Macaca mulatta: one gene and its partners. The protein of the gene in region 1 interacts with the protein of each later gene in a biochemical or structural test. Links are inferred from orthologs where the notes say so. Each region holds a gene or a part of one and is shown in the gene's direction. Other genes may lie near its edges.

What was found.
Region 2: the proteins of PML (region 1) and CHEK2 form a complex in vitro, tested with the Homo sapiens proteins (2 studies listed by BioGRID, with this or other methods). The link is inferred for Macaca mulatta from reciprocal best matches to the Homo sapiens genes PML and CHEK2.
Region 3: of the proteins of PML (region 1) and SENP1, one has a biochemical effect on the other in vitro, tested with the Homo sapiens proteins (2 studies listed by BioGRID). The link is inferred for Macaca mulatta from reciprocal best matches to the Homo sapiens genes PML and SENP1.
Region 4: the proteins of PML (region 1) and SP1 form a complex in vitro, tested with the Homo sapiens proteins (2 studies listed by BioGRID, with this or other methods). The link is inferred for Macaca mulatta from reciprocal best matches to the Homo sapiens genes PML and SP1.
Region 5: the proteins of PML (region 1) and JUN form a complex in vitro, tested with the Homo sapiens proteins (2 studies listed by BioGRID). The link is inferred for Macaca mulatta from reciprocal best matches to the Homo sapiens genes PML and JUN.
Region 6: of the proteins of PML (region 1) and HIPK2, one has a biochemical effect on the other in vitro, tested with the Homo sapiens proteins (2 studies listed by BioGRID). The link is inferred for Macaca mulatta from reciprocal best matches to the Homo sapiens genes PML and HIPK2.
Region 7: the proteins of PML (region 1) and KLHL20 form a complex in vitro, tested with the Homo sapiens proteins (3 studies listed by BioGRID and IntAct, with this or other methods). The link is inferred for Macaca mulatta from reciprocal best matches to the Homo sapiens genes PML and KLHL20.

Annotation. Positions count from the first base shown.
Region 1 is NC_133412.1:51,755,941-51,759,904, forward strand, and holds part of PML (protein PML), read left to right. Parts: intron 1-2,582; coding exon 2,583-3,163; intron 3,164-3,964.
Region 2 is NC_133415.1:22,828,536-22,832,499, forward strand, and holds part of CHEK2 (serine/threonine-protein kinase Chk2), read left to right. Parts: intron 1-192; coding exon 193-317; intron 318-435; coding exon 436-583; intron 584-636; coding exon of another isoform or gene 637-674; intron 675-3,964. UniProt on the Homo sapiens protein: Serine/threonine-protein kinase which is required for checkpoint-mediated cell cycle arrest, activation of DNA repair and apoptosis in response to the presence of DNA double-strand breaks.
Region 3 is NC_133416.1:55,172,361-55,176,324, reverse strand, and holds part of SENP1 (sentrin-specific protease 1), read left to right. Parts: intron 1-879; coding exon 880-964; intron 965-1,339; coding exon 1,340-1,495; intron 1,496-2,725; coding exon 2,726-2,857; intron 2,858-3,964. UniProt on the Homo sapiens protein: Protease that catalyzes two essential functions in the SUMO pathway.
Region 4 is NC_133416.1:60,525,634-60,530,309, forward strand, and holds the start of SP1 (transcription factor Sp1), read left to right. Parts: upstream 1-1,653; 5' UTR 1,654-1,692; coding exon 1,693-1,699; intron 1,700-2,203; exon of another isoform or gene 2,204-2,400; coding exon of another isoform or gene 2,401-2,482; intron 2,483-3,039; coding exon 3,040-3,197; intron 3,198-3,492; coding exon 3,493-4,676. UniProt on the Homo sapiens protein: Transcription factor that can activate or repress transcription in response to physiological and pathological stimuli.
Region 5 is NC_133406.1:181,865,002-181,869,516, forward strand, and holds JUN (transcription factor Jun), read left to right. Parts: upstream 1-1,294; 5' UTR 1,295-2,278; coding exon 2,279-3,283; 3' UTR 3,284-3,611; downstream 3,612-4,515. UniProt on the Homo sapiens protein: Transcription factor that recognizes and binds to the AP-1 consensus motif 5'-TGA[GC]TCA-3'.
Region 6 is NC_133408.1:179,611,418-179,615,935, reverse strand, and holds the start of HIPK2 (homeodomain-interacting protein kinase 2), read left to right. Parts: upstream 1-1,423; 5' UTR 1,424-1,793; coding exon 1,794-1,812; intron 1,813-2,174; exon of another isoform or gene 2,175-2,358; intron 2,359-4,518.
Region 7 is NC_133406.1:31,211,005-31,214,968, forward strand, and holds part of KLHL20 (kelch-like protein 20), read left to right. Parts: intron 1-3,252; coding exon 3,253-3,826; intron 3,827-3,964. UniProt on the Homo sapiens protein: Substrate-specific adapter of a BCR (BTB-CUL3-RBX1) E3 ubiquitin-protein ligase complex involved in interferon response and anterograde Golgi to endosome transport.

The DNA of each region.
Region 1 (3,964 bases):
AGCTGGGACTACAGGCGCCCGCCACCTCGCCCGGCTAGTTTTTTTGTATTTTTAGTAGAGACGGGGTTTCACCATGTTAGCCAGGATGGTCTCGATCTCCTGACCTTGTGATCCGCCCGTCTCGGCCTCCCAAAGTGCTGGGATTACAGGCTTGAGCCACCGCGCCCGGCCTGTATTTTTTTTTTTAAGTAGAGACGGGGTTTCACCGTGTTAGCCTGGTCTCGTTCTCCTGACCTCGTGATCCGCCCGTCTCGGCCTCCCAAAGTCCTGGGATTACAGGCTTGAGCCACCGCGCCCGGCCGGGTTTTTATATTTTGTTTTGCTGCTGTAACAAATTACCACAAATTTAGGGGCTTAAATCAATGTAAATGTATTCTCTCATGGTTCTGGAGGTAAGAAGTCTGAAACAGGTCTCACTGAGGTATATTAAGGTGTCAGCAGGCTTTGCTCCTTTGGGAGGCTCTCAGGCAGAATGTTTTCTTGCCTTTCCCAGCTTCTAGAGGCTGCCCACATTCCTTGGTGCATGCCCCCTTTCTGTCTTCAAAGCAGCAACATCACAACACTCCCACCTCTGCATTCATCACATCTCCCCTTCTGCCTCCCTGCCCTTTCCTTTGTAAGGATTCACGTGATTACATTGAACCCACCCAGATAATCTAGAATGATCTCTTTATCTCAAGGTCCTTAATTGAGTAACACCTGCAAAGACCCTTTTGCCATAGTAAGGTGACATATTCACAGGTCTCAGGAATTTGCACGTGGACATCTTTAGAGGCCACTATTCTGCCTACTAGAGTTTGCATCTAGACTCTACCACTTACTAATCGTGTGAGCTTGAACAAATTATTTCGCCTCTTGCACCAGTTTTCTCATCCTTAAAATGGGGATAATAATGTTATCTATTCCATTGGATTGTCAGGAGGATTGAATGAATTGATATTTGCCAACACTTATAATAGTGTCTGATACACAATAAATGCTATGGAAGTATCTGCTAGCTAAAATATATTAACCAGGCTAGGAGTGGTGGCTCACGCCTGTAATCCCAACACTTTGGGAGGCTGAGGCAGATGGATCACCTGAGGTCGGGAGTTCGAGACCAGCCTGACCAACATGGAGAAACCTTGTCTCTACTAAAAATACAAAATTAGCCGGGGTGGTGGTGCATGCCTGTAATCCCAGCTACTCGGGTGGCTGAGGCAGGAGAATTGCTTGAACCCGGGAGACGGAGGTTGTGGTGAGCCAAGATGGCGCCATTGCACTCCAGCTTGGGCAACAAGAGCGAAACTCCGTCTCAAAAAAAAAAAAAAAAAAAAATTAACCAAATAAAAATATTAAAATACAAACACTTTGATCTAGCAAGCCTATATTTATAATCTATTTCATAGGAACAAAAGCATCCATGTTTAGGCTATATAACTTGGATATTACTAAAGTGTTGTCCATATTGGCACCAAAAGAAAAAAAGGAAAGGAAAAGAAAGAAAGAAAATACACAAACAGGAAATTACCTGAATGCCAGCAAAATGAGTGATTGAATCAATTGTAGCCCATCTGGGATATACCAGAGTATTAAAGAGAATACATCTGATCTGTGCCTATGCACCTAGAGGAATGCTCTGAGTGAAAGTTTGTTAAGAGGAGGAAGTTACAAAGTAATTATATGAGTTGATTTCTTTCTTTTTTCTTTTTCTTGTTTTTTTTTTTTTTTTGAGGCGGAGTTTCGCTCTTGTTGCCCAGGCTGGAGTGCAATGGCACCATCTCAGCTCACTGCAACCTCCGTCTCCCAGGTTCAAGCAATTCTCCTGCCTCAGCCTCCCAAGTAGCTGGGATTACAGGCATGCGGCACCACACCCGCCTAATTTTGTATTTTTAATAGAGACGGGGTTTCTCTATGTTGGTCAGGCTGGTCTCGAACTCCCAACCTCAGGTGATCCGCCCGCCTCGGCCTCCCAAAGTGCTGGGATTACAGGCGTGAGCCACCGCGCCCGGCCGATTTCTTTCTTTTCTTTCTTTTTCTTTCTTTTTTTTTTTTTTTTTTTGACAAACGTCAATCCCCAAAATTGTAGATATCCAGGTCAATCATTTAACATGTTCTGTTTCTTCCTCTGGGAAATATGCATAACAATAATTCTCATCCAAGGGGCTCTCGCAAAGGTTAAGTGGCATGGCTGACATGTGTCAAGTCTGTACCATCCTGCAAGCAGCTGCCAGTCTGGCATTTGTGTAAAGCGGTTTCACTGGAGAGAGGTGTGGAAGGGTGCACCCCACAATGCTTACCTGGTGCTTCCTCAGTGAGGAAGGGAAATTCAGAAGTGGTGGAAAGAGATGATTGTCGTTTCGTATATCTTTGTATTGTTTCCCGGATGTTGAAATTGTTACTGTAGTAACTTTTTATACTCATGTTATTGGTAGTTTGGATACTATCACCATAACCACAAACAATGAATTGGGAAAAGCAGAAACCTAGAAACACGCCATGATTCAAAGTCTGGTAATTTTGGAAAAGGAATTTTATAACGAACGTTTTAAGAGGAAAAAGTCAGGAGAGTCCTAACCCAGGCCAACCTTGTGTGTCCACAGCATCTACTGCCGAGGCTGTTCCAAGCCGCTGTGCTGCTCGTGCGCTCTCCTTGACAGCGGCCACAGTGAGCTCAAGTGCGACATCAGCGCAGAGATCCAGCAGCGACAGGAGGAGCTGGATGCCATGACGCAGGCGCTGCAGGAGCAGGATAGTGCCTTTGGCGCGGTGCACGCGCAGATGCATGCGGCTGTCGGCCAGCTGGGCCGCGCGCGCGCCGAGACCGAGGAGCTGATCCGCGCGCGCGTGCGCGAGGTGGTAGCTCACTTGCAGGCGCAGGAGCGCGAGCTGCTGGAGGCAGTGGACGCACGGTACCAGCGCGACTACAAGGAGATGGCCAGTCGGCTGGGCCGCCTGGACGCTGTGCTGCAGCGCATCCGCACGGGCAGCGCGCTGGTGCAGAGGATGAAGTGCTACGCATCGGACCAGGAGGTGCTGGACATGCACAGTTTCCTGCGCCAGGCGCTCTGCCGCTTGCGCCAGGAGGAACCCCAGAGCCTGCAAGCCGCTGTGCGCACGGACGGTTTTGACGAGTTCAAGGTGCGCCTGCAGGACCTCAGCTCTTGCATCACCCAGGGGACAGGTAAGTACGCAAGCCACCATCCTGGGCGCCCTGTGCCTCTGCTGCACCCTAGGGAAGGCGAGTCAGAAGAGATCGTCTCCATTTGACAGAAAAGGAAACTGGGTTTTTATTCAGTCTTTGGGATTTGGTAAGGTCTTAGGTTCCAGGACACAGGATAAGGGGGAGATAAGGCCCTGACAAAGGGCTGCAGCCACCCAGAGGGGACACGTTTTGCTAATTTACAAGACTCTGGATTGACCTAGCAATGACTCATAGGGAACGAAAAACTGCAAAGCTGAGAATCAGACCCAGTATCATTTTGGCGCCAGAGGGACCAACCACTTCAGGAGGTTCTCTTAAGCCACCAGTGTCTCGGAACAGAGAAGTCAATTGGAACCTGGGGTTAGGGTAGAAGGGAGCTAAGAAAACCTCCGGGAGATGATTGGATGCTTACCCAAAACCGTACAGTGGCTCAGTGGAGGAGACCTCTTGTCTCTAGGATGACCTGCTGTCTGACAACCTTTGCACGCCCTGCCTAGTGTTGGGCACTTGAGAGGTGAGGAGACACAGACCAGTTTCTGATCTCAAGGAGCCAGAGCCACATCACATAGCTGGAGAATGAGACAGTGCTCAGCTCTGCAATCCAAATCCGGGAGATGTGGCAGCTGTGTATTAGCTGGAATAAGGGGACTTTCAAAGTAAGGGGTGAGGGGAGTGCACAGGAGGGTCTCCAGGACTCTTTGACTAAATCTCCAAGCTGGAATGTGAGCTCTGAGCAGCTGGTATAGGACGCCCTTACTGGGAAAGGGGAGGGAGGCTACG
Region 2 (3,964 bases), on another chromosome or scaffold:
GCCATTTGTTAAACTCGTTGTAAATGTTGTTTTTTCTCTCCTGATTTTTAATCTTATAAAATCTTGATAAGCAGACTGATAATTCTGATTGCCTTCTTAGGCTATTTTCCTACAATTAGCATTTATGACCAATTTTTAAACGTTTGATATATGAAATTCAACAGCTGTCTGCTGCATGCTTTTGTATTACAGAATGTGTGAATGACAACTACTGGTTTGGGAGGGACAAAAGCTGTGAATATTGCTTTGATGAACCACTGCTGAAAAGAACAGATAAATACCGGACATATAGCAAGAAACACTTTCGGATTTTCAGGGTAGGTAACAAATACCCACGTATCTAGGAGAGCTGGTAATCTAGTCATTGTTTTTAGGTATTTTCCCACTATAAATCTCTGCTGTTCAAAGTTTGAAATAAAATGTTCTCTGTTTTAGGAAGTGGGTCCTAAAAACTCTTACATTGCATACATAGAAGATCACAGTGGCAATGGAACCTTTGTAAATACAGAGCTTGTAGGGAAAGGAAAACGCCGTCCTTTGAATAACAATTCTGAAATTGCACTTTCACTAAGCAGAAATAAAGGTAATATTATTATCTTATGGTTACTGGATTTTTTTTTTTCCACTCCCTCATAGGAGGAAAATTTGTCCTGTCCTTACAGAGTATGGTTTAAGTGAGTAAAGATGAGTAAGTTGCCAGGCGCAGTGGCTCACACCTGTAATCCCAGCACTTTGGGAGGCCGAGGCGGATGGATCACCTGAGGTCAGGAGTTCGAGACCAGCCTGACCCACATGGAGAAACCCTGTCTCTACTAAAAGTACAAAATAAGCCGGGCATGGTGGCATATGCCTGTAATCCCAGCTACTCAGGAGACTGAGGAAGGAGAATCGCTTGAACCCAGGAGGCGGAGGTTGCGGTGAGCCGAGATCGCGCCATTGCACTCCAGCCTGGGCAACAGGAGTGAAACTCTGTCTCAGAAAAAAAGATGAGTAAGTTAGCATTCAAGATTCAACTTTGCCGTCCTAGTTGCATTGTTAAATTTTGAAAAAGTTCCATCCAGACAGATTTTTAAGGTTTTAAGGTTTAATTGGTTTTATGTAATGCCATATACTGTGTTTTTTTTTAAATTTATTTTTATTTTTTTATTTTTTATTTTTAATACGGGGTCTTGCACTGTCACCTGGGCTGGAATGCAGTGGCGCAATCTCGGTTCACCGCAGCCTCCGCCTCCCAGTTTCAAGCGATTCTCCTTGCCTCAGCCTCCCAAGTAGCTGGGATTACAGGCACCCGCCACCACGCCCAGCTAATTTTTTTGTATTTTTAGTAGAGATGGGGTTTCACTATGTTGGCCAGGCTGGTCTCGAACTCCTGACCTTGTGATCTGCCTGCGTCAGCCTCCCAAATTGCTGGGATTACAGGCGTGAGGCCCCACTTGGCCCATATACTGTTAATTGAATTATCATGGTGATTAAAATAAGTTATAGTTCATTGATTGATTCAGTTTATACCACATCAGTCTTAGATATCTATGAATTGTTGTTTCAGGCCATTAATTCATTTTTCCTTCCTCTTCACCTCATTCTTTCCTTTCTTCATTTTTTCCATTCATTTTTTTCTTTCTTTCTTTTTTGAGACATGGTCTCACTCTGTCACTCAGGCTGGAGTTCAGTGGCACTGCAACCTCTGCCTCCCAGGCTCAAGTGATCCTCCCACCTCAGCCTCCTGAGTAGCTGTGACCACAGACACATGCCATCACGCCTGGCTAATTTTTTGTATTTTTGGTACAGATGGAGTTTCACTATGTTGGCCAGACTGGTCTTAGACTCCTGAGCTCAAGCAATCTGCCTGCCTTGGCCTCCCAAAGTGCTGAGATTACAGGTGTGAGCCACCACGTCTAGCCCCATTCCTTTATTTCTGTATACATTTATTGAGTTACTTTTATATACCAGGCGTTAGGATATGGGTGCTTCTGTAAGAGGCTCACTTTAGAGCATCTACCTTTGTAAATACTACATGGTTATCCTGTGTAAGTGGAGATGTTTATTAGCATCATCATATAAGCATCCAGTTCTTTTTTTTATTTGAGACGGAGTCTCGCTCTGTCGCCCAGGCTGGAGTGCAGTGGCGTGGTCTCGGATCACTGCAAGCTCTGCCTCCTGGATTCACGCCATTCTCCTGCCTCAGCCTCCCGAGTAGCTGGGACTACAGGCGCCCGCCACCACGCCTGGCTAATTTTTTGTATTTTTAGTAGAGATGGGGTTTCACCGTGTTAGCCAGGATAGTCTCAATCTCCTGACCTCGTGATCCGCCCACCTCGGCCTCCCAAAGTGCTGAGATTACAGGCGTGAGTCACCGCGCCCGGCAAAGCATCCATTTCTAAAACTATGGAAATAAAATCTGAAATGAACAATTGTTTTTCAGGGTAATATCTAGAAGGGTACCTGACAAAAACAACCATAGAGTTAAAAGTAGCTCAAGGTGATTAGACAAGAGAAATACTATTTTTCTTTAGTTAAAGAAACCATAGAGCTTCCCAAACTTATCTGAGAGTCGAATGACTTGGAGGGTGTCTATGTGTGTGCAAGACATTTTGAAAATAAGGGTTCCTACAAGTACTCTTCTCTAGATTCTGGTAGGGATTTAAAAAATCATGCCTCTAGGGGCTGTGGCATGAGCCTGTAGTCCCTGCTACTCAGAAAGGTGAGGCTAGAGGATCCCTTGAGCCCAGGATTTTAAGGCTACAGTGAGCTATGATGGTGCCTGTGAATAGCCACTGCCCTCCAGCCCGGGCAACATGGTGAGACCCCGTCTAACCAAATGAAATGAAATCATGCCTAAGGGATTTTCATGCAGTCAGTCTTCAGTCTGGTATCTTGGAACTATGTCTATATTGGGCGTCCTGAAGTACATTTTATGATTAACTTAGTTTTCCCTGTTTCCGACTATTTTGTTTTCTCTGTGATAGTTATAGTCAGGGCAGCTGCTTTGGGTTTTGCTGTTTATGAGTGTGTAGGAGAGGTGCAACTGGGTGCTGAAATTTGGACTGTCCTCTACTTGACAACCTGTGTACCACCTTTTTCTCATTGGTCTGCCCAAAGGGCACTTTTCTTCCTCTTTTTAAAAAATTAAATAAACCTTTAAACATTTATTTAATAGATAAAAATTACAGGTTGGCATGGTAGCTCATGCCTGTAATCTCAGCACTTTGGGAGGCCAACACAGGAAGGTTGCTTGAGCCCAGGAATTCAAGACCAGCTTGGGCAACATAGTGAGACCCCATCTCTACCAAACATAAAAAAATTAGCTGGGCATGCTGGTATGTTCCTATAGTCCCAACTACTTGGGAGTCTGAGGTGGGAGGATTGCTTGAGCCTGGGAGGTCGAGGCTACAGTGAGTCATGATTGCACCACTGCACTGTAGCCCGGGCAACAGAGTGAGAAGGTGTCTCAAAAATACATAGATATTTATCATGTGCAACATGTTTTGAAATATGTATATATTGTAGAATGGCTAATTTGAGCTAACTAACATGCATTACCTCACTTACTTATCTTTCTTTTTTTTTTTTTTTTTTGAGACAGAGTCTCTCTCTGTCGCCCAGGCTGGAGTGCAGTGGTGCGACCTCGGCTCACCGCAAGCTCTGCCTCCTGGGTTCATACCATTCTCCTGCCTCAGCCTCCCGAGTAGCTGGGACTACAGGCGCCTGCCACCACGCCCGGCTAATTTTTTTTTTTTTTTTTGTATTTTTAGTAGGGATGGGGTTTCACCATGTTAGCCAGGATGATCTTGAGCTCCTGACCTTGTGATCTGCCTGCCTCGGCCTCCCAAAGTGCTGGGATTACAGGTGTGAGCCACCATGCTCCGCCATCTTTTTTTTTTTTTTTTTTAAATAGAGAAAATACTTAAAATCTACTCTCTCAACTGATTTTCAAAAATACGGCCAGTATGGTGATACTTATGGC
Region 3 (3,964 bases), on another chromosome or scaffold:
ACAGAGTAAGACTCCGTCTCAAAAAAAAGAAAAAAGTACCTGTTTATACTTTTAAGTTGATGAGTTTTCAAAATTTTGTTGGAGTTGGAACATTTCTACACTTACGTTTATTAAATCTATAACAATTGTTGAAGCTAAATTAAATTGGAAAAATAGAGTTAGCTATTATGTAGTAGGGACAATAAACGATCCTATTTTGGCATTTGTAAAACTAATTTATTGAATAATTCATATTTCTGGACTTTGCAAAATCACTGAAAGCATTTAGTCTTGTTTAAGAAACTTACTTTATTGAGTTATCCAAACCCCTTGGTCTCGGTAATTTTTAAAAAGTCTATCAAAAATATAGTATTTGAATTAAACTTCAGCAATATCTTGTATTAGTTTCTCCTTTGGGGTTCCATCCCATTTTTGGATTTCCAGACTGAAGTTTTGCTTTCATTATAATCTTAAAAGCATGTTAAGAAAAGAACTATGTGTTTACAAATGTTAACAAGTCATCTGTTCACATTTAGCAATGCACTGATATTTTTAGTAATTTCAGTAAAAATAGTTCGGGTGTGGTGGCTCACATCTGTAATCCTAGCACTTTGAGAGGCCAAGGTAGGGGGGTCGCTTGAGCCCAGGAGTTTGAGACCAGCCTGGGCACCATAGTGAGACCCTGTCTCTATAAAAAATAATAATAATGTCCGTAAAAAGAGTAGAGTAATTTCAGTAACATGTGGTTTCACTCTATGTCTTAAAATAAGGATGATAAGTTAGTGTAAGGATTTTAGACTTTCTTTGTGAGGGTTCTGTATTTAATACTCAGTGTACATCAACAATATGTTTGATACTGAGAGTGGTCTACATTTGGTCACATTCCTTTTCATTTTCTAGAACTAGTGTTTATGATTCTCGAGCACGAGAAAGATTGCGCCAGATTGAAGAACAGAAAGCATTGGCCTTACAGCTTCAAAACCAGGTAAAAAAGAAAATTGGAATAATATTGCAAATAAATACTACATCGAAATAGAAACTATTTTGGAAAGTTACCCAGATTTGGGTAATTGCTGTTGTAATTCCAAGATCGTATGGTAGCATAGCATGTTATGATATGTGGTAAATGTTCTCGGTCTGTTCAGTCAGTACTACTCATTGTACATAAGACAAATATACATAGTCCCCTACTTGTGATGGTTTGACTAATGATTTTTTGACTTTACAAAAAAGCGAAAGCAATAGGCATTTCAGCATGCTCCTTGACTTATGACAGGTTTATTGGGACATAACCCTATCGTAAGTCAAGGAACAGCCACAGATTTCTTTATCCTGCTTATTCTGAAGTTTTATCTTTCAGAGATTGCAGGAGCGGGAACATTCAGTACATGATTCAGTAGAACTGCATCTTCGTGTACCTCTTGAAAAGGAGATTCCTGTTACTGTTGCCCAAGAAACACAAAAAAAAGGTCATAAATTAACTGATAGTGAAGATGAATTTCCTGAAATTACAGAGGTAAATTACATACACTTAATTTCTACACTACCAAGTATTATGTTTAGAAAGAATCTCTCGGACGAATTTCAAACATAAAAGCAATAGTGGTCAAGCACGGTGGCTCACGCCTGTAATCCCATCACTTTGGGAGGCTGAAGCGGGTGGATCACTTGAGGTCAGGAGTTCGAGACCAGCCTGGCCAACATGGTGAAACCCCGTCTCTACCAAAAATACAAAAATCAGCTGGGCGTGGTGGCAGGCACTTGTAATCCCAGCTACACAGGAGGCTGAGACAGGAGAATTGCTTGAACCCGGGAGGCAGAGGTTGCAGTGAGCTGAGATCGTGCCACTGCACTTTAGCCTGGGTGACAGGCCAAGACTCCATCTCAAAAAAAAAAAAAAAAAAAAAAAAAGCCGTAGAACACTTGGTATTTAAGTTTTCTTGTATATTTCTGCTTTCACTTATTTTACATACCAATCTGGGCTTTATTTTTAAAATATTGAAAATTTATGAAAGAACTGTTGGTGGCTTTTAACAACTTCAGTGGAGAAGCATTTAATACATTTGTCTTTCCTGTCATGTGCATTTTTACTTACTGCACACATACAATAGTTTGATCCTAAATTGTAAGCTGAGGTTTGCTCTTTTTTTAAGTAATAAAACCCATTATAGAAAATTTAGAAAATACATGGAGGTCTGTGTACATTTTTAGATAATCCGTTTCTTTATCCATACGTCTCTTTGAAACCTACCTTGTAGCTAGTGAGCATAACACACTTACTATAGTTGTACTGAATTCTGTATTTTATATTTTAAAAAAGATCTCTAAGAAAGTAATTTCTAAAAGATACTGCCTTTACTCTCTTACTATAACCTTTCATTAAAAAATCTGTTTCTCAGGAAGTTGTTTGGACCAGAGATATAAAATATAGTTAATTTTTCTCATGACTTAGAAAATTTGATAGCAGAAGGTTATTTCAGATTTTAGGAATTAATATGGAAACAAGGATCTGAATGTTGTGCTGAAAAAGAGAAGGGAGGACTAGATGAAGTGTAAAGAAGTAATCAGGGATTACTGGGAAGGAATAGAAACCAAAATGTTACATAGAAGTAAACTAATTAACAGTAAATTTATAAACAATCGAATGGTGATAAATATAGTCTGAGGATTTCATGGGGCTTGGTGAGAAATATGGTTTTCCTGAAGCCACGCATGTTTGATGTCTTGACACCTTTTGTTTTCTTAGGAAATGGAGAAAGAAATAAAGAATGTATTTCGTAATGGGAATCAGGATGAAGTTCTCAGTGAAGCATTTCGCCTGACCATTACACGCAAAGATATTCAAACTCTAAACCATCTGAATTGGCTCAATGATGAGGTAATATTGCATCTATTTTTACATACAAATAACAAACATTAAGTGGCAGTTAAATTAAGGCATTATCTCACTATTTCTCAAAATGTGGTCCATGGATGACCCGCATTGAAATCACCTCTCATAGGCCTCTTCATTCTTGTAACCATGAGGGAGTGTGGTGGAGACAGGCATTTTTAACAAACATCTCAGGTGTATTTAAGAGTCTGAGAACCACTGAATTTACCTTTTCTTGTATTGAAGATTTGAACACTGAAGAAGACATTCACTCATTGGTATTCTCACTCTCTTTAAGGCTCTTGTTCTGCAGTTCATCTCTTCTGAACAAATAAGTATTAGCTGACCGTTTTGCAGCATGAAGGAATACTTTGGGATTTCTTTATAGGAATCCAGTTTTACTTCCCTTTCTACCTAAGTTCTACTCATTTTAGATCGCTTACAAAATGAATGATAAGATTTCCAAAATAGCCTCCATTTATGTATGATATTTTTTAAATGGACATTGACAAAGTTATTATTAAATATTTGAGGTATTGGGAAAGTTACGGTCTTCACCTCCTAACTCCAGTTTATTTTAAGTATATTAATTACACTACAATTTTTAAACTGATCTATTCCTAAACCTAAACCTGTAAGTAGCTATTTTATTTTAGAAGGTTATTTTTACAGCAAAGGAAAACTGGGTTGGGTATCTTTTCCTAAGTACCTTCTTTCTGTGAGCATCCCTGCCTAATCTGGGTATACTCAAGCTTCACAGCTGTGGAGGATCTTTAGTTTCTCAGTATAGTAATCATTAAATATTTTAGATATCCATATCCTGTTTTTGCATGATCAAGACCTTCCAAATAATATTTGCTAATAACTATTGATCATTTACCTCATTAGGTACGATTCATGTTTTATGTGTTTTATTCTTGTAATAGTCATCATATCTTTGGAGGTAGATATGATAGTTTTATCATCTCCATTCTACAGATAAAGAAACAAGGCATAGAAAGATTTAAAAACTTGCAAGGTTATACAGCTAGTAAACAGCAGAGCCAAGATTAAGACCCAAGTATTGGGTCTTATCTACTATATCTTACCACCTCAGAATCTTAAATTGGATCC
Region 4 (4,676 bases), on another chromosome or scaffold:
GGCTAGTTTTTTTTTTGTATTTTTTAGTAGAGACGGGGTTTCACCGTGTTAGCCAGGATGGTCTCGAACTCCTGACCTCGTGATCCGCCCGTCTCGGCCTCCCAAAGTGCTGGGATTACAGGCTTGAGCCACCACGCCCGGCCAAGGCCTCAGTTCTTAACTCCAAAGGGCTTAAAATAGTATAGGAGAATTCAGATTTTAAAACATAAGAACATACAAGCAAGCGACAACATTTAAGATACAAATACTGAAGGACATGACCTTATCGTGTCATTGACAAGCTATCAAGGCCGGCTCCACCAAAACACGGATAAAGAGGAGGCCAGAAATCCAGGTGCCTGCAGTAAAGTTTAACCTTCGTGATTGCAAAAAGCAGGAGCTCAACTATCTTGCTTTATGCATAGGCGGTATTTACTATTAACTCGGAAAAATGGAAGTGACTTATCCGCACTTTAGCCTCAAAGCTTGAAAAGTTAACCAGTCGTAAGTGGTTAGCGCCTTTGTCTGGCGGAACTTAACAAAATGGCGTTTTCTGGAATCTTACGGAGACTCTGCATATTGGTCAGCTCAGTATTAACTTATTTGGTGAGCGCTGTCCCCAAATCCCGTTCCGGCTGCACTCGCAGGGCTTGCAGCGACATTGAGGTATCTGCCCGCCTGTCCGCCCACCCGGGAAACGGGTAAGATTTGAGAGGTACTTTATAGGGGCAGTTAAATGAAGACTCAAACAAATCCTAGTGTTGATGCGGAACTGCGCGCCGAATGCCTTGGCTCTGACACCTGTTGAGCTGCAAGACTTCACTAAAGCGTCCCACCTAATGACTGTAACAACGTCCCCTGAGGTGGGCCAATATGGCGACGGTCTCCTCTTGGCACAGCCCTCTTCCCTCCCTCATGATGGGCGGCTCCGGTAACGCCCATTGGCCAACTAGGAGGCGGTGCCAGGCTTACTTCGTTCCCTCATTGGATTGAATAACTTAGGGAGCCGCCAATTCTCCTCTGCCACTCCAAGTTTCCGCCCTCAGAGTTAATCTGGCGTTTAATTGGCTTTTAATTCACGTCAATATGCGTCCTTTCCTGTCTTTTTTCAGTCTTAATCCAATCATAACTTTCCTGGCTGCCCGCCTGATTTCTGATTGGTTTTAATCAGCTTCAGCCTATCCTATTCCTGTCTACTTCTTACCTCTCCTCCCACTAGGATTTTGCCCAAGCATATCCCGGATTCTAGTTGGCCGTTGTTCTGTCATTCCTATCAAACCTTTCCCTATCCCAATGTCTCAGGGAGCCCGCCTGCCGGTTGACTGGTTTCCTTCCAAGCCAATAATCCCCAGCTCCCGCCCATCTTCACTTCCTGCATCTTTCATTGGCTTTTAACACTGAGAGGGCTGTCTTTTTGGGCGGACACCAGGCACGCAACTTAGTCTTACACGCCTTAGAGAGCAAGCGAGTCTTGCCATTGGAAAACCTCACCGTCTTTCTTCTGCAAGTCCCACCTTTCCCCCTCCCTCATTGGGCGGGGCAGCAGAGAAGGGGCGGGGCATAGGTTGGGCTGGTGGCGCGCTGCTCCCTCCTCCTCACCCCCCCCTCCCTGTCCGGTCCGGGTTCGCTTGCCTCGTCAGCGTCCGCGTTTTTCCCGGCCCCCCCCAACCCCCCCGGACAGGACCCCCTTGAGCTTGTCCCTCAGCTGCCACCATGAGCGGTAAGGATGAGTCCACTCCAAGCTTAGGGGTGGGAGGCGAGTGAGGGGGCGCGCGCGAGGGCCGACCGGGCGATCCCCGCCGTGAGGGGGGGCGGGCGGGAGGCGGCGGCGGCGGCCTAGGTCCCGCCCGGGGCGGAGGGAAGGGAGGGAGACGGGGCAGTGGCTGGGCCTCCGAGGAGGAGGGGGATGGGCCGCCCGCCCCGGGGGAGGGGGCAGCGTGGCCTCGCCCGCCCCCTGCCCGCCCCGGCCACGGGGGACGGGCCTTACCCCCCACTACTCGGCCGCCCGCCTGAGGCTCCTCCCGCCGGGGGCTGGAGCCGCGGGGGCGGCCCGAGCAGTGAAGGCCCCGCCCGGGCCAACCGCTTGTCTGGTCCGTCCTCTGGTCGCCGCCTGCTCCGGCGCCCTCCTCCCCCCACTTTCCGTAGATTTCCCTTCCCCCCGCCCCACCGTCCCGCCCTTTCCACGCCCCTCACCCCGAAACCGCCCTTTCCCTCAGGGCCCGCCCTCCGCCCCGAAACCTCCTGACTACTAACCAGTACACCCCTTTAGTTCCTTAGTAGTATTCACAAATGTTTTCCTACTAAAACTTTTTATTTCTTTTTCCCTTCTCCTCTTGTTACTTTTAATACTTGGGTTTTTGTTTATCTCTCTCTTTTTTTTTTGAGAGGGAGTTTCGCTCTTGTCGCCCAGGCTGGAGTGCAATGGTGCGATCTCGGCTCACTGCTACCTCCCGGATTCAAGCGATTCTCCTGCCTCAGCCTCCGGGAGTAGCTGGGATTACAGGCATGCGCCACCACACACGGCTAATTTTGTATTTTTAGTGGGGACGGGGTTTCTCCTTGTTGGTCAGGCTGGTCTCAAACTCCTGACCCCAGGTGATCCTCCTGCCTCAGCGTCTCAAAGTACTGGGATTACAGGCATGACCACCGCGCCTGGCCTCTCCATCTCTTTTAACCTTAATTTTAGCAATCTTTCCATCCACCCACATATTGTTTTTTGCCTTACTTGTCCTTTTTTCCCTTAGGATACTTTTTCTTATTTTGAAACTCTTTCAGCATGACTACCATCCTTCACATTTCCTATCCCCAAAGCACTTTTTGAATGTTTTCTTAGTTAATTTTGTGTAAGGGAGAATTGAGGCCCACTTTTGGCACCATTGAGCCTAGTTCATGTCCTGCATGCCCTGCAGCTCCCCTCTGCCCTCCAATCCATTTTCTTTATACTGGCGCCTTTCGCCTTCCTGTTAGTCATTGCTATTTCATCATAGCCTCCTTTTATCCTTCCTACCTCATCTCTTTTCTTCCCTCAAGTTTAAGTTGTTTGTTTTTTAATTGTTTTAGACCAAGATCACTCCATGGATGAAATGACAGCTGTGGTGAAGATTGAAAAAGGAGTTGGTGGCAATAATGGGGGCAGTGGTAATGGTGGTGGTGCCTTTTCACAGGCTCGAAGTAGCAGCACAGGCAGTAGCAGCAGCAGTGGAGGAGGAGGAGGGCAGGTAAGTGATAATAATAGAGTGGGGAAGATGTTGAGAGGATGTAAATATTCTTAGATAATTGCCTTACTCTTCATAGAAAGCTTTTTAGGGAGCTTATCAAAACCATTTTATAGATAAGAAGTAAGAGTATGGAGATCCCCAAAGACAGGAGTTTCAGCAATACAGATAGGTCAGCTTTTTGTTTCTGTTTTTTGCTCCTTGTCTGCACTACGTTGCTGTTTATTTGTTGTATACTGCCCCCTAGGCTGGCAGCTGGGTGTCACTAACTCCTTTCCTCTCCCTTATTTTTGGCCAGGAGTCCCAGCCATCCCCTTTGGCTCTGCTGGCAGCAACTTGCAGCAGAATTGAGTCACCCAATGAGAACAGCAACAACTCCCAGGGCCCGAGTCAGTCAGGGGGAACAGGTGAGCTTGACCTCACAGCCACACAACTTTCACAGGGTGCCAATGGCTGGCAGATCATCTCTTCCTCCTCTGGGGCTACCCCTACCTCAAAGGAACAGAGTGGCAGCAGTACCAATGGCAGCAATGGCAGTGAGTCTTCCAAGAATCGCACAGTCTCTGGTGGGCAGTATGTTGTGGCTGCCACTCCCAACTTACAGAACCAGCAAGTTCTGACAGGACTACCTGGAGTGATGCCTAATATTCAGTATCAAGTAATCCCACAGTTCCAGACCGTTGATGGGCAACAGCTGCAGTTTGCTGCCACTGGGGCCCAAGTGCAGCAGGATGGTTCTGGTCAAATACAGATCATACCAGGTGCAAACCAACAGATTATCACAAATCGAGGAAGTGGAGGCAACATCATTGCTGCTATGCCAAATCTACTCCAGCAGGCTGTCCCCCTCCAAGGCCTGGCTAATAATGTACTCTCAGGACAGACTCAGTATGTGACCAATGTACCAGTGGCCCTGAATGGGAACATCACCTTGCTACCTGTCAACAGCGTTTCTGCAGCTACCTTGACTCCCAGCTCTCAGGCAGTCACCATCAGCAGCTCTGGGTCCCAGGAGAGCGGCTCACAGCCTGTCACCTCAGGGACTACCATCAGTTCTGCCAGCTTGGTGTCATCACAAGCCAGTTCCAGCTCCTTTTTTACCAATGCCAATAGCTACTCAACTACTACTACCACCAGCAACATGGGAATTATGAACTTTACTACCAGTGGATCATCAGGGACCAACTCTCAAGGCCAGACACCCCAGAGGGTCAGTGGGCTACAGGGGTCTGATGCTCTGAACATCCAGCAAAACCAGACATCTGGAGGCTCACTGCAAGCAGGTCAGCAAAAAGAAGGAGAGCAAAACCAGCAGACACAGCAGCAACAAATTCTTATCCAGCCTCAGCTAGTTCAAGGGGGACAGGCCCTCCAGGCCCTCCAAGCAGCACCATTGTCAGGGCAGACCTTTACAACTCAAGCTATCTCCCAAGAAACCCTCCAGAACCTCCAGCTTCAGGCTGTTCCAAACTCTGGTCCCAT
Region 5 (4,515 bases), on another chromosome or scaffold:
TAAAATAACAACCGCGGAAAAGGAACCACTTACATGTGTCTAGCGCTTCCTAGAGGCTACTCAGGATATGGGCCCACCACCCGGCCGGGAAGGCGGAGATTTGAAGTCCAGGTTCTACCCCGGGCTCCTGAGTTCTACTGCGTTACTTTATGCGAGTGTCCCCCGCCTTCTGAGCTTGTTTTCCCGGAAGCAACTCGGCGCGGGTGGAGAGTGTGTGCGTGTGTGTGTGTGTGTGCGCGCGCGCATGTTGTGCGTGTTGTGTTAAGCGTGTGTGTGTTGTCCGGGGGCGGGAAGGGGAGTAGACTAACACCGGGGTTCCCCGAGTTTCGGATCGCCTACACGCTTGTTCCCATCTGGACCCTGTTACCCACTAATTGCGCCCACTATAAAAACTGCCCCTCGGAGGCAAAGCTGTGATCCCCCGCGCCCTTTCCCCCACGGTCCCGGAGGATGAAGTGGGGTGCAACGGAGACTCAGCTGAGCGTCCAGTTTTGGGCAATACAAATCTCTCAGCTTCTAAGAGCAGCCAGACAACCCCGCGGACCATCCCTCCTGAACTTGACCGAGATGCAAACTTCGCAGCGTTTCTCAACGTGGGGGGCCGACTCTCGGGAGACCGCCCCCAAACTTAAGCCCCCTTAGGCTCGCCCCCAACTGGGACTTCACAGAGCCACCTTAAGGGCGGCGCTCCCGCCCCCCGGAAGTGCGGGGGGGCGGCGGACCTGGACTCTCAGCCTCCCGCCCCGCGCGGTGGCGGACGCCGGTGGATGACTTCGAGCCCCACAAGTGGGGAAACACAACCACCCCTCGCCCGCACCCTTGACCCAAAACAACTGGCCGGGTTCCCTGGCCTCCCGGGTCCCCGCATCCCCTGCATCCCAGTCCGCAGCCGTGAACTTGAGCCCCCTCCGTCAGATGTTGCGAGCGTCCGCCCGCTCGCGGCAGCCACCGTCACTAGACAGTCAAACCCCAAGACGTCAGCCCACAATGCACCGGGCGGGCCGGGAAAAACGGCCCGGGGAGGGGACCGGGGAAGAGAGGGCCGAGAGGCGTGCGGCAGGGGGGAGGGTAGGAGAAAGAAGGGCCCGACTGTAGGAGGGCAGCGGAGCATTACCTCATCCCGTGAGCCTCCGCGGGCCCAGAGAAGAATCTTCTAGGGTGGAGTCTCCATGGTGACGGGCGGGCCCGCCCCCCTGAGAGCGACGCGAGCCAATGGGAAGGCCTTGGGGTGACATCATGGGCTATTTTTAGGGGTTGACTGGTAGCAGATAAGTGTTGAGCTCGAGCTGGATAAGGGCTCAGAGTTGCACTGAGTGTGGCTGAAGCAGCGAGGCGGGAGTGGAGGTGCGCGGACTCAGGCAGGCAGACAGACACAACCAGCCAGCCAGGACGGCAGTATAGTCCGAACTGCAAATCTTATTTTCTTTTCCACCGTCTCTCCAACTGCCCAGAGCTAGCGCCTGTGGCTCCCGGGCTGGTGTTACGAGGAGTGCCCAGAGAGCCTGGTCTCCAGCCGCCCCCAGGAGGAGAGCCCTGCTGCCCAGGCGCTGTTGACAGCGGTGGCGAGCAGCGGTACCCACGCGCCCGCCGGGGGAAGTCGGCGAGCGACTGCAGCAGCAAAGAACTTTCTCGGCCCGGAGGACCGGAGACAACTGGCCCAGAGTCCCGGAGCGAACTTTTGCAAGCCTTTCCTGCGTCTTAGGCTATTCGGCGGCGGTAAAGACCAGGAGGCGGCGGACAGCCACGCAAAAGAAGAAGGACGTGCGCTCAGCTTCGCTCGCACCGGTTGCTGAACTTGGGCGAGCGCGAGCCGCGGCTGCCGGGCGCCCCCTCCCCCTCGCAGCGGAGGAGGGGACAAGTCGTCGGAGTCTGGGCGGCCGAGACCCGCCGCTGGTCGGCCTCTGCGGGTCGGCACTGATCCGCGCCGCCGGGAGAGCCGCTGCTCTGGGAAGCGAGTTCGCCCGCGGACTCCAAGGAACGGCGGCGCCCGAAGAGCGCTCAGTGAGTGACCGCGACTTTTCAAAGCCGGGTAGCGCGCGCGCGAGTCGACAAGTAAGAGTGCGGGAGGCATCTTAATTAACCCTGCGCTCCCTGGAGCGAGCTGGTGAGGAGGGCGCAGCGGGGACGACAACCAGCGGGTGCGCGCGCTCTTAGAGAAACTTTCCCTGCCAAAGGCCCCGGGGGGCACGGGTGTCCCCCGCTTGCCAGAGCGCTGTTGCGGCCCCGAAACTTCAGCACGCAGCCCAAACTAACCTCACGTGAAGTGACGGACTGTTCTATGACTGCAAAGATGGAAACGACCTTCTATGATGATGCCCTCAACGCCTCGTTCCTCCCGTCCGAGAGCGGAGCTTATGGCTACAGTAACCCCAAGATCCTGAAACAGAGCATGACCCTGAACCTGGCCGACCCAGTGGGGAGCCTGAAGCCGCACCTCCGCGCCAAGAACTCGGACCTCCTCACCTCGCCCGACGTGGGGCTGCTCAAGCTGGCGTCGCCCGAGCTGGAGCGCCTGATAATCCAGTCCAGCAACGGGCACATCACCACCACGCCGACCCCCACCCAGTTCCTGTGCCCCAAGAACGTGACAGACGAGCAGGAGGGCTTCGCCGAGGGCTTCGTGCGCGCCCTGGCCGAACTGCACAGCCAGAACACGCTGCCCAGCGTCACGTCAGCGGCGCAGCCGGTCAGCGGGGCGGGCATGGTAGCTCCAGCGGTAGCCTCGGTGGCAGGGGGCAGCGGCAGCGGAGGCTTCAGCGCCAGCCTGCACAGCGAGCCGCCCGTCTACGCCAACCTCAGCAACTTCAACCCAGGCGCGCTGAGCAGCGGCGGCGGGGCGCCCTCCTACGGCGCGGCCGGCCTGGCCTTTCCCGCGCAACCCCAGCAGCAGCAGCCGCCGCCGCAGCCGCCGCACCACCTGCCCCAGCAGATGCCCGTGCAGCACCCGCGGCTGCAAGCCCTGAAGGAGGAGCCTCAGACAGTGCCCGAGATGCCTGGCGAGACGCCGCCCCTGTCCCCCATTGACATGGAGTCCCAGGAGCGGATCAAGGCGGAGAGGAAGCGTATGAGGAACCGCATTGCTGCCTCCAAGTGCCGAAAAAGGAAGCTGGAGAGAATCGCCCGGCTGGAGGAAAAAGTGAAAACCTTGAAAGCTCAGAACTCGGAGCTGGCGTCCACGGCCAACATGCTCAGGGAACAGGTGGCACAGCTTAAACAGAAAGTCATGAACCACGTTAACAGTGGGTGCCAACTCATGCTAACGCAGCAGTTGCAAACATTTTGAAGAGAGACTGTTGGGGGCTGAGGGGCAACGGAGAAAAAAAATAACACAGAGAGACAGACTTGAGAACTTGACAAGTTGCGACGGAGAGAAAAAAGAAGTGTCCGAGAACTAAAGCCAAGGGTATCCAAGTTGGACTGGGTTGCGTCCTGACGGCGCCCCCAGTGTGCACGAGTGGGAAGGACTTGGCGCGCCCTCCCTTGGCGTGGAGCCAGGGAGCGGCCGCCTGCGGGCTGCCCCGCTTTGCGGACGGGCTGTCCCCGCGCGGACGGAACGTTGGACTTTTCGTTAACATTGACCAAGAACTGCATGGACCTAACATTCGATCTCATTCAGTATTAAAGGGGGGAGGGGGAGGGGGTTACAAACTGCAATAGAGACTGTAGATTGCTTCTGTAGTACTCATTAAGAACACAAAGCGGGGGGGAGGGCTGGGGAGGGGCGGCAGGAGGGAGGTTTGTGAGAGCGAGGCTGAGCCTACAGATGAACTCTTTCTGGCCTGCCTTCGTTAACTGTGTATGTACATATATATATTTTTTAATTTGATGAAAGCTGATTACTGTCAATAAACAGCTTCATGCCTTTGTAAGTTATTTCTTGTTTGTTTGTTTGGGTGTCCTGCCCAGTGTTGTTTGTAAATAAGAGATTTGGAGCACTCTGAGTTTACCATTTGTAATAAAGTATATAATTTTTTTATGTTTTGTTTCTGAAAATTCCAGAAAGGATATTTAAGAAAATACAATAAACTATTGAAAAGTACTCCCCTAACCTCTTTTCTGCATCATCTATAGATACTAGCTATCTAGGTGGAGTTGAAAGAGTTAAGAATGTCAATTAAAATCACTCTCAGTGCTTCTTACTATCAAGCAGTAAAAACTGTTCTCTATTAGACTTTAGAAATAAATGTTCCTGATGTACCTGCTTCTATGGTCAGGTTATACTCTTCTTCCCCCAGCTATCTATATGAAATTGCTTACCAAAGGATAGTGCGATGTTTCAGGAGGCTGGAGGAAGGGGGGGGGGTGTTGCAGTGGAGAGGGACAGCCCACTGGGAAGTCAAACATTTCAAAGTTTGGGATTGTATCAAGTGGCATGTGCTGTGACCATTTATAATGTTAGTAGAAATTTAACAATAGATGCTTATTCTCAAAGCAGGAATTGGTGGCAGATTTTACAAAAGATGTATCCTTCCAATTTGGAATCTTCTCTTTGACAATTCCTAGATTAAAAGATGG
Region 6 (4,518 bases), on another chromosome or scaffold:
AGAAGGGGTAGGAAGTGTAGCATTGATTATGGGGGCAAGGAAGACGGCAGAGTCCAAGATCACAGAGAGAAAGGGGTCGTGATGTGCCACTAACAAAATGTGAAAGAGCTTGCCTTTTTTGGGGGGAGGGGCGGGGAATAGAGGATGGGAATGGAAGATGGAGACCGGAAAGGATAAGAAGTAGTGAGAAAATCACGGGGTTGTTTTTAAGAATGTCATACAGTGTTAGAGATCATTATTTTACACCTTAAAAAGACAGCTTTTCAACTTTTCTAAACCCACGATTTACAGTCGGAAATAAAATTGACATCATGGTCTAGTACACTTGTCCAGTACCTATAATCGAAACAAAAGGTTTATGAAACAATAGTTGCCCTTACTAAGGGCAATGGACTCTAATATTTTCTATTGGATTCCATTTCATTCTTTTTGAAAGCCGGTTGCCTTCTGCTGCATTTATTTTATGATCTATTACTGTATCACGACCCACGGTTTTAAAAACTGTGCCTAAGAGGAGACTCAACAAGTCTTCCTAAGTTGGAGGGGATGGTAGGGCATCCTATCCAAGCATCCGGGAGGCAGCTGGAGAAGCAAACCTGAAGAGGCTCCGGGCTGGGGAGAGTTTGGAGAGTGTTTAGCGAAAGCCCTGATAGGAGAGAGCGCTGTGAAAAGCGAGGACCCAGACAGCTGTGAGCGCCCATTCAGTGATGGAGGGGGGACCCTCGGGACAGTGTAGACGCGAGGAGGCGAAGATCAGGGTGACGTCGAAGCCAGACTCCGGCAGGAACCCAGCGACCACCCCGGGGGCTGCATTTCCGCGGCGTGCACGGTAGGGCTTCGGTGCCTCTGACCTCGCGTAGCTTTCCGAAGCTCCTCCACTCACCCTCCCTCCCCGGGAGCACGGCGCGCGCCCACTCCTTCATTCATTCATTCCACTCCTAACTCCGCGAGCGCCAACCGGCTGTGAGATGGGCGAGCCACTTTGCCAGCCTGGGGCTCTCTTTCGGGTCGGTTCCCTCCCCGCCAGCACACGCGCGCACCCTCGCACCTGGGCACACACACACGCGCGTGCACACACGCACACACACACACACACAAAGTTCTGGGGGCCCCTCTGCGGACCGGCTCGGCTGCGCTGGGCTTGGAGCCCTGCGCCCGCCGAGTCCAGGCCGGCCCTCTCACCCGCTACCCCGGGCCCGCCCCGCGCCCTGTCCCCCCGCGCTGCGCGGCAGCCCCTCCCGGCGCGGTCCCCTCGGGCCGCCGGCGCGGCTCTGCCCTTCGGCTCGGCCTTCCCCGCCTCGCATCCGTGCCATCGGCGCTCGATTGCGCGCGGACTCCCTGTGGCTCTCCCGGCCCCGCGCCCCGCCCCCGCCCGCCGCCCCCCTCCGCCAGCAACTTTTGCGGAGCCCCCGCGCCCAGCCATGCTGAGCTGAGCCCCGCCGGCCCTGGCCGCGCGCTGCCCCCGGCTCCCGCCCCTCCGCGGACCCGCTCGGGGGCCGCGGCCGCTCGGCGCCTCGGCCTCGGCCGCTCCGCCCGCCCGGCCGCCCCGAGCCCCGAGCCCCGAGCCCCCCGCGCCGGGCCCGGGCGGCAGCGGCGGCGGCGGCGGCGGCGCGCCCGGCCCCCTCCCCCGGCGCCGGCCACGGGAGGCGGTGATGCGGGCGCGGGCGGCCTCGGCTGCGCCGAGAGCGGAGACACAGGCTCAAGATGGCAGATTCCGACTGAGGCTGGGGGGGCCGAGCTCGCGCGCCGCTTTCCCGTCCCCGTTGCCATGAACCGCGGACACCCCGGCCCCGATGGCCCCCGTGTACGAAGGTAAGGGGCGCCCGGCCCCGCCGACCCCGCGCCCGCCGCCCGCCGCGGCCCCCGCAGCTTTGTTCTGCCCGCGGCCCCGCGCCCGCAGCCCCCGGCGCCCGCCCCAGCCCCCACCCGGGGCCGAGGGGGCCGCGACCCCCTCCCTCGCCCGGAAGATGACCGGGACCCGGCGCCGGCAGGGTCCTGCTTCCAGGGCGGGGAGAGGGACCGGGGGCGCAGGAGGGGAGGGGGCGTGTGCGAGGGTGGGCGGCTGCCCGCGGAGGGCAGGGGCGCCGGGGAAGGCGGACCGGTGACTGTGCTTTTTATTTATTTGCGATAAATGAAGGTGATGCGGCTCAGCTTCCACCGCCCCCCCACATTACCTTTCGGAGCACCTCCTTTCCACTTCGCTCTCCGCCCCGCGCCCCTTCCCATTTCTCTCCGCGCCCACCCCACGCTCCTTTATTCTCCGCGAGCCTCCGATTTTGGGGGGGCTGTGGAATCGGAATGCACGGGGCTAGGTGGGGAGAGAGATGAAAAGTCCGTGTCAGAGCCAAGCAGAACAATGAAATAGGCGAAAATCTCCCCGCATTAGCGTGTGGAAGGGGACGTGGACTTTGGGTTTTCCAGCCGGGGGAGCGGCGGATACGTTTTCCTGGCTCGGTCTGGGTCGACCTGTGTTGTGCACCTTCACCTGGCGTCGGGGTATTTTTCCCCATTTGCCTTTAGCAAGAAAGAAAAGAATGCAAGGCAGAAAAGCAGTAGGTCTGCCTCGCACACTGTCTTTCGTTTCTCTTCAGTCCGTTCTGTCAGCTTCCAGCCAGAAAGCAACCCAGAATCAACTAAGTTTTTACACTTCGATGTGTTTTTGTGTGCTTGTAGTAGGAGAAATTTTAAACCCAAGTGTGTCTGATTTTTCAGTCGTTTCATCGTGTAAATGTTTGTCTCATGAAATCATTGAATTCGCAGCCTTCACATACTTTTAGTGTGGGTCCCCCTGGCTTTCTTTCGGTTTTGTTCAGATATTCTGTGGATGAAATCGCAAATGAGAGGGGACAGGGTTTGTGTGGCACAGAGGAGGGCACGAGGGGGGAATGTAATCCGCCTGTAAATCCGGAGAACAGTTGTGGCCAGTGAGACAGGGAAGGCGTTAATAGTTTTATCTCTGTTATAAGAGGCTGATTTTAAAAAAAAAAAAAAAAAAAAAAAACTTATCTGAAAAGAAAATCTGTTATTAGATTCAGGGCTCCAAATGAATTAGGTTTCTGGCCTGAATAAAGTTACCAGTCAGGCGCTGGATAACGAGGCTGTAAATAACCTATGGACTGTAAATATTTTTTTTCAGACTCTCTTAGAAACAAAGGGGCTGTTTAGAAGGCAACAGAGAGATGTTATTCCAGGGGCTTTCCTCTTTGATTCTGAAGAACACAAGGTCCATTTAACCATTCAACAAAACAAAACGAAATTTCTGATCACTCCACCACGCAGAATAGAACATGCCGGTGGACATGTGAACATGCGGGAGAACCCATGTCGGGCGTTCATTGTTCATCTGCGTCTACAGGAGGGGGCTACAGTCAATGCTCCCACTGTCTAGAGTGTTAAAATGAAACAATTTTCTCTTTATTAAGTACCTCCTTGAGACTCCCTCTGCTGGACACTCCTGGTGAGTTGCGAGAAGGAACTTGGCATTGAATTCAGAACTATAGTAAACGGCTGGTTTCCCTGTTACTAGGGACCGGGTATGTGAGTTGGGGTGTATTTTGTCAACTTTGTGGAAAGCCATCTTGGGAACTGCACTGTTCTCCTCCTGCTCCTTTCATTCTAAATCCATGTGGAATGTAGGCCATGCCCCCGAGGCTGAGACTTGGCTCTCCCCATTCCTGCTACATTGTTCTTCCAGTTCCTTACGCCAGATAAAGAATTGCAGGTGTGTAGGGTGTTACGGTTTAAGAATAATCATGGATCTCAAAAGTCTCATGAACTGTTTTTATTTGCCAGCCTTCCTTCCCTTTCTCAGGTGACCTCCGTGGTGGCCTCTTTCAGCCCTCGGTTTCCCTCCATCTTATCCATGTGCCTTCTTCATTCTTCCCGCGCTGTGCACCCTTTTATTCCGGATGTTTCTCTGTGCACCTTTATAATTATTTTTCTAATGTTCTTCCCTATCCCACTTCAACCAACCCACATCACTCTGCCAAAAGCCCAGGCCTGGGTGTTTTTGAAAGAGATTGTTGGATATGCTCTACAACAGGTGACCTCTAGAATCAAGGATTAGGTTGCTAGGACCCGCATTCACTCACTGATGATTGTGCCAAGACTCTGATGACCTCCTTTCTCCCGCCATGGTAACATCCGCTGGGTTCAGGAAACCTGATTTTTCCCCTATCTCAATCAGAACACATGGACTCCCTGTGTGCACGCTAAATGAGCAGAGCTTTTCCCGCAGATTTCTATAAGAAGAGGGATTCCTCATGGATTTTGAGCTCCTCTGTGCATGATTCTTCTCAGGAAAAGTGTAGTGACACAAGGGGGAATTGTTTCAATGGGGTGCTGCTGTACCAGGTTGGAATACCAGGTGAAGGCCCAGATGCATTAATGGAGCTTTCTGAACCGCCAGAGATTTAGACAGAAATGCTGTTTTTGAAACAAGGGGTATTTGATCATACGAATTAATGGGTGGCAAAGAGAATCAGTCTTCCCGGGCTTTCTTGAAGGATAGGTTTATAA
Region 7 (3,964 bases), on another chromosome or scaffold:
TTTACCTAGTAATTTCACACCTGAATTTCCACATATGAAATATGAATATAAGATACAAATTTTCAAGCCAGGCACGGTGACTCACACCCGTAGTCCCAGCTACTTGGGGGGCTGAGGTGGGAGGATCACTTGAGCCTGGGAGGTCGAGGCAGCAGTGAGCCACGATCAAACCACTGTATTCCAGCCTGGGTGATAAAGCAAGACCCTGTTGCAAAGAAAAGATACAAATTTGTATCTTATGTATTATCTGGAATGACTTTAAAGATAATAAAAGTATTTTAAGTATTTTATCAATACTTAAAAGTAATTCTGAAAATTTCTTATACCATCCAGTTAATTTTAGTTAGAAAAGGGATGATGTAAGTTCACTTTGTTATGCTTATTCCCTTAAATATGAAATGCATTTTATAGGCTGCTTTTACCGAATTATTTGACTCTTCTTGATATTTCACTGATGAAATTTTTCATGATGACCAAATCTAAAAAAAAAAAAATCTGTATTTGGTGTAGTTTCTTGGGCTTTTAAAAACAGTTGTACAGAAATTTGGGTAATCCATAAGAAAAAACAAAACAAAACCTTATTTTGAATTGCTAAATCATCCTAGAAACTCTTCCCTCTCCTCACCTCCCAGTACTCACATGAATTACAGTTATTAAATATTCACAGTACCTCAGGAGATGCGTGGTTTACCCTAAAGCATCCAGAGACTGAGAGCTTCATGATTTTGAGTAAGTCACGTAACCAAACTAGTTTCTTCATCTGTAAAAGGAGGGCATTATGCTACATGATCCGATGATCCATTCCATTCCATATCTAGATCTCCACACAAGCAAGAAGGGGCAGTTTTCATATTTGAAGACTTGTGAAGAACACCAACTTGTAAGATTTATAGACACATACATATATACTCTGATCCTGTAAGGCAGTGTTCATCAAATTTGAGCAATTTACAGATACTCCACCACCTTTTTGTCCAGAACCCATTTTAAAGGAAAATAATTATTGCAGCTTCTTTTTTTTTTTTTTTTTTGAGACGGAGTCTCGCTCTGTTGCCCAGGCTGGAGTGCAGTGGCCGGATCTCAGCTCACTGCAAGCTCCGCCTCCCGGGTTTACACCATTCTCCTGCCTCAGCCTCCCGAGTAGCTGGGACTACAGGCGCCCGCCACCTCGCCCGGCTAGTTTTTTTGTATTTTTAGTAGAGACGGGGTTTCACCATGTTAGCCAGGATGGTCTCGATCTCCTGACCTTGTGATCCGCCCGTCTCGGCCTCCCAAAGTGCTGGGATCACAGGCTTGAGCCACCGCGCCCGGCCTAATTATTGCAGCTTCTAAAAAATACGTCCTTTAACACAAGTTTAGACAACACATACCTAAATGTACAGGAAATGCCCAACTTATAGACTTCTACAGTTTATGTATACTAGCTCGAGCCATCATGCTTCTCTAAAGCTTTTGTTTAAAAACCAAAAACGGCCAGGCGCAGTGGCTCATGCCTGTAATCCTAGCACTTTGGGAGGCTGAGGCAGGTGGATCACGAAGTCAGGAGATCGAGACCATCCTGGCTAACACGGTGAAACCCCCGTATCTACTAAAAATACAAAAAATTAGCCAGGCATGGTGGCACGCACCTGTAGTCCCAGCTACTTGGGAGGCTGAGGCGGGAGAATCGCTTGAACCCGGGAGGCGGAAGTTGCAATGAGCCGAGATTGTGCCACTGCACTCCAGCCTTCGCGACAGAGCCAGACTCTGTCTCAAAAAAAACCAACCCAGCATGGTGGCATGTGCCTTTAATCCCAGCTACTCAGGAGGATTGCTTGAGCCTAGGAGTTCAAGACCAGCATGGGCAACATAGTGAGACCCTCATCTCAAAATTTTTTTTTAAATTAATAAATATAAAAACCCAGCAACAACAAATTGTAGAATAATCTGAAAAAGAGAGAGATTCTTTTCCTTCTCCCTTCTTGTACCTATTGTTCCTTGCGTCTTGGGACTTCAAGACTCAGGGCAGTGGCATTTAAACTTTTTTGATATAACCTGCAGTTTACAAAGGGAACCAGTGATGCATATCTATACGAATTTGTGTGTGTACATACACGCAATTGAACGTACTTAATGAAATGTATGCTGTTACTTTCTATTTCATTTTTTAATGCTTCTTATGATGCACTGAATTTTACAACTAAACCTAGTCCCCATTTACAGCACTCTTACCATAGAAAAATACAAACCTCCAAATAAATAAACTTTTAGAATCAACTTTTAAATACTACTTACTTATAAATTGAAGAATGTCTGTTTATGAACTTATTCATTTATTTTATAATCATACCGAAACCTCAGTGATTCAGACCAATTTGACAGCAGTTTGACATATGTAGTACTTTTAATTGAGGCTTATCATATTTAATATCTCTAATAGGAAATTAGACCCAAATTAGTCTAACAAAATCGACCTGGAGGCTCTTTGGAGTCCTGCTAAATCATCATTTAGCTTGCCATTTTCTTTACTATTTTAATCTCAATAAACTTGCAAAGATTCTATGTAAAGATAAATTTCAATCCAGACTTTTTTTTTTTTTTTTTTTTTTTTTTGAGACAGGGTCTCTCTCTGTCACCCAGACTGGAGTGCGGTGATGCAATCTCGGCTTACTGCAGCCTCTGCCTCCAGGGTTCAAGTGATTCTTGTGCTTCAGCCACCCAAGCAGCTGGGATTACAGGCATGTGCCACCACACATGGCTAATTTTTCTGTAATTTTAGTAGAGACAGGGTTTTGCCACATTCACCAGGCTGGTTTCAAACTCCTGGCCTCAAGTGATCAGCTTACCTTGGTCTCCCAGGGGTTACAGACATGAGCCACCACACCTGGCCGTCAATCCAAACTTTTTAGATTGTCTTTAATTCAAAATTGAACTATTAATTGAAGCATGTTAACTTGGGCTTAATTTTTAAAATGGATAAGCATAACCACCTTATCTAAAAGTTTTATTACCATAGTAGCTGGAATTTAAATGGTTTATGTAGACCAGGCATGTTGGCTTATGGGAGGTGGAGGCAACAGGATCACTTGAGCCCAGGAGTTTGAGACCAATCTGGGCAACACAGTGAGACATCATCTCTACAAAAAAATTAAAAAAAAAAAAAATCACCAAGCTAATTACGTTTCCTTATCGCTTGAATTACAAACATTTAAGGGGAGAAAAGAGTTTATAATAATACTGCCATCTTCTTTCTCTCCCCCATCATTCCTATAGGTGTACCAACATTCGACCAGGAGAGACTGGAATGGATGTAACAAGCCGCTGCACCCTTGGAGACCCCAACAAACTACCAGAAGGGGTTCCCCAACCTGCCCGCATGCCCTATATCTCAGACAAGCACCCTCGACAAACCTTGGAAGTGATTAACCTTCTGAGAAAGCACCGGGAGCTATGTGATGTGGTGCTAGTTGTGGGCGCCAAGAAGATATATGCCCATCGAGTCATTTTGTCAGCCTGTAGTCCCTACTTCCGAGCTATGTTTACAGGAGAATTGGCAGAGAGCCGTCAGACAGAAGTAGTGATCCGCGACATCGATGAGAGGGCTATGGAATTACTGATTGACTTTGCATATACCTCCCAGATAACAGTAGAAGAGGGCAATGTTCAGACTCTTCTGCCAGCTGCTTGCCTCCTCCAGCTGGCAGAAATACAGGAAGCCTGCTGTGAATTCTTAAAGAGACAATTAGATCCTTCTAACTGCCTGGGCATTCGGGCTTTTGCTGACACACATTCATGTCGTGAGTTGCTAAGGATAGCAGACAAGTTCACCCAACATAACTTTCAAGAGGTGAGTTGCACTTGGTGTTCCAATGCACTTATGATCTATTTGTCAGAGAGCAATATAGATTCACATTCTGTTAAATTGCCTGGGTATTTCCTGCTGATTCTAACTTATAATAGCAAAGAAGTAAGTTATTATAAATCC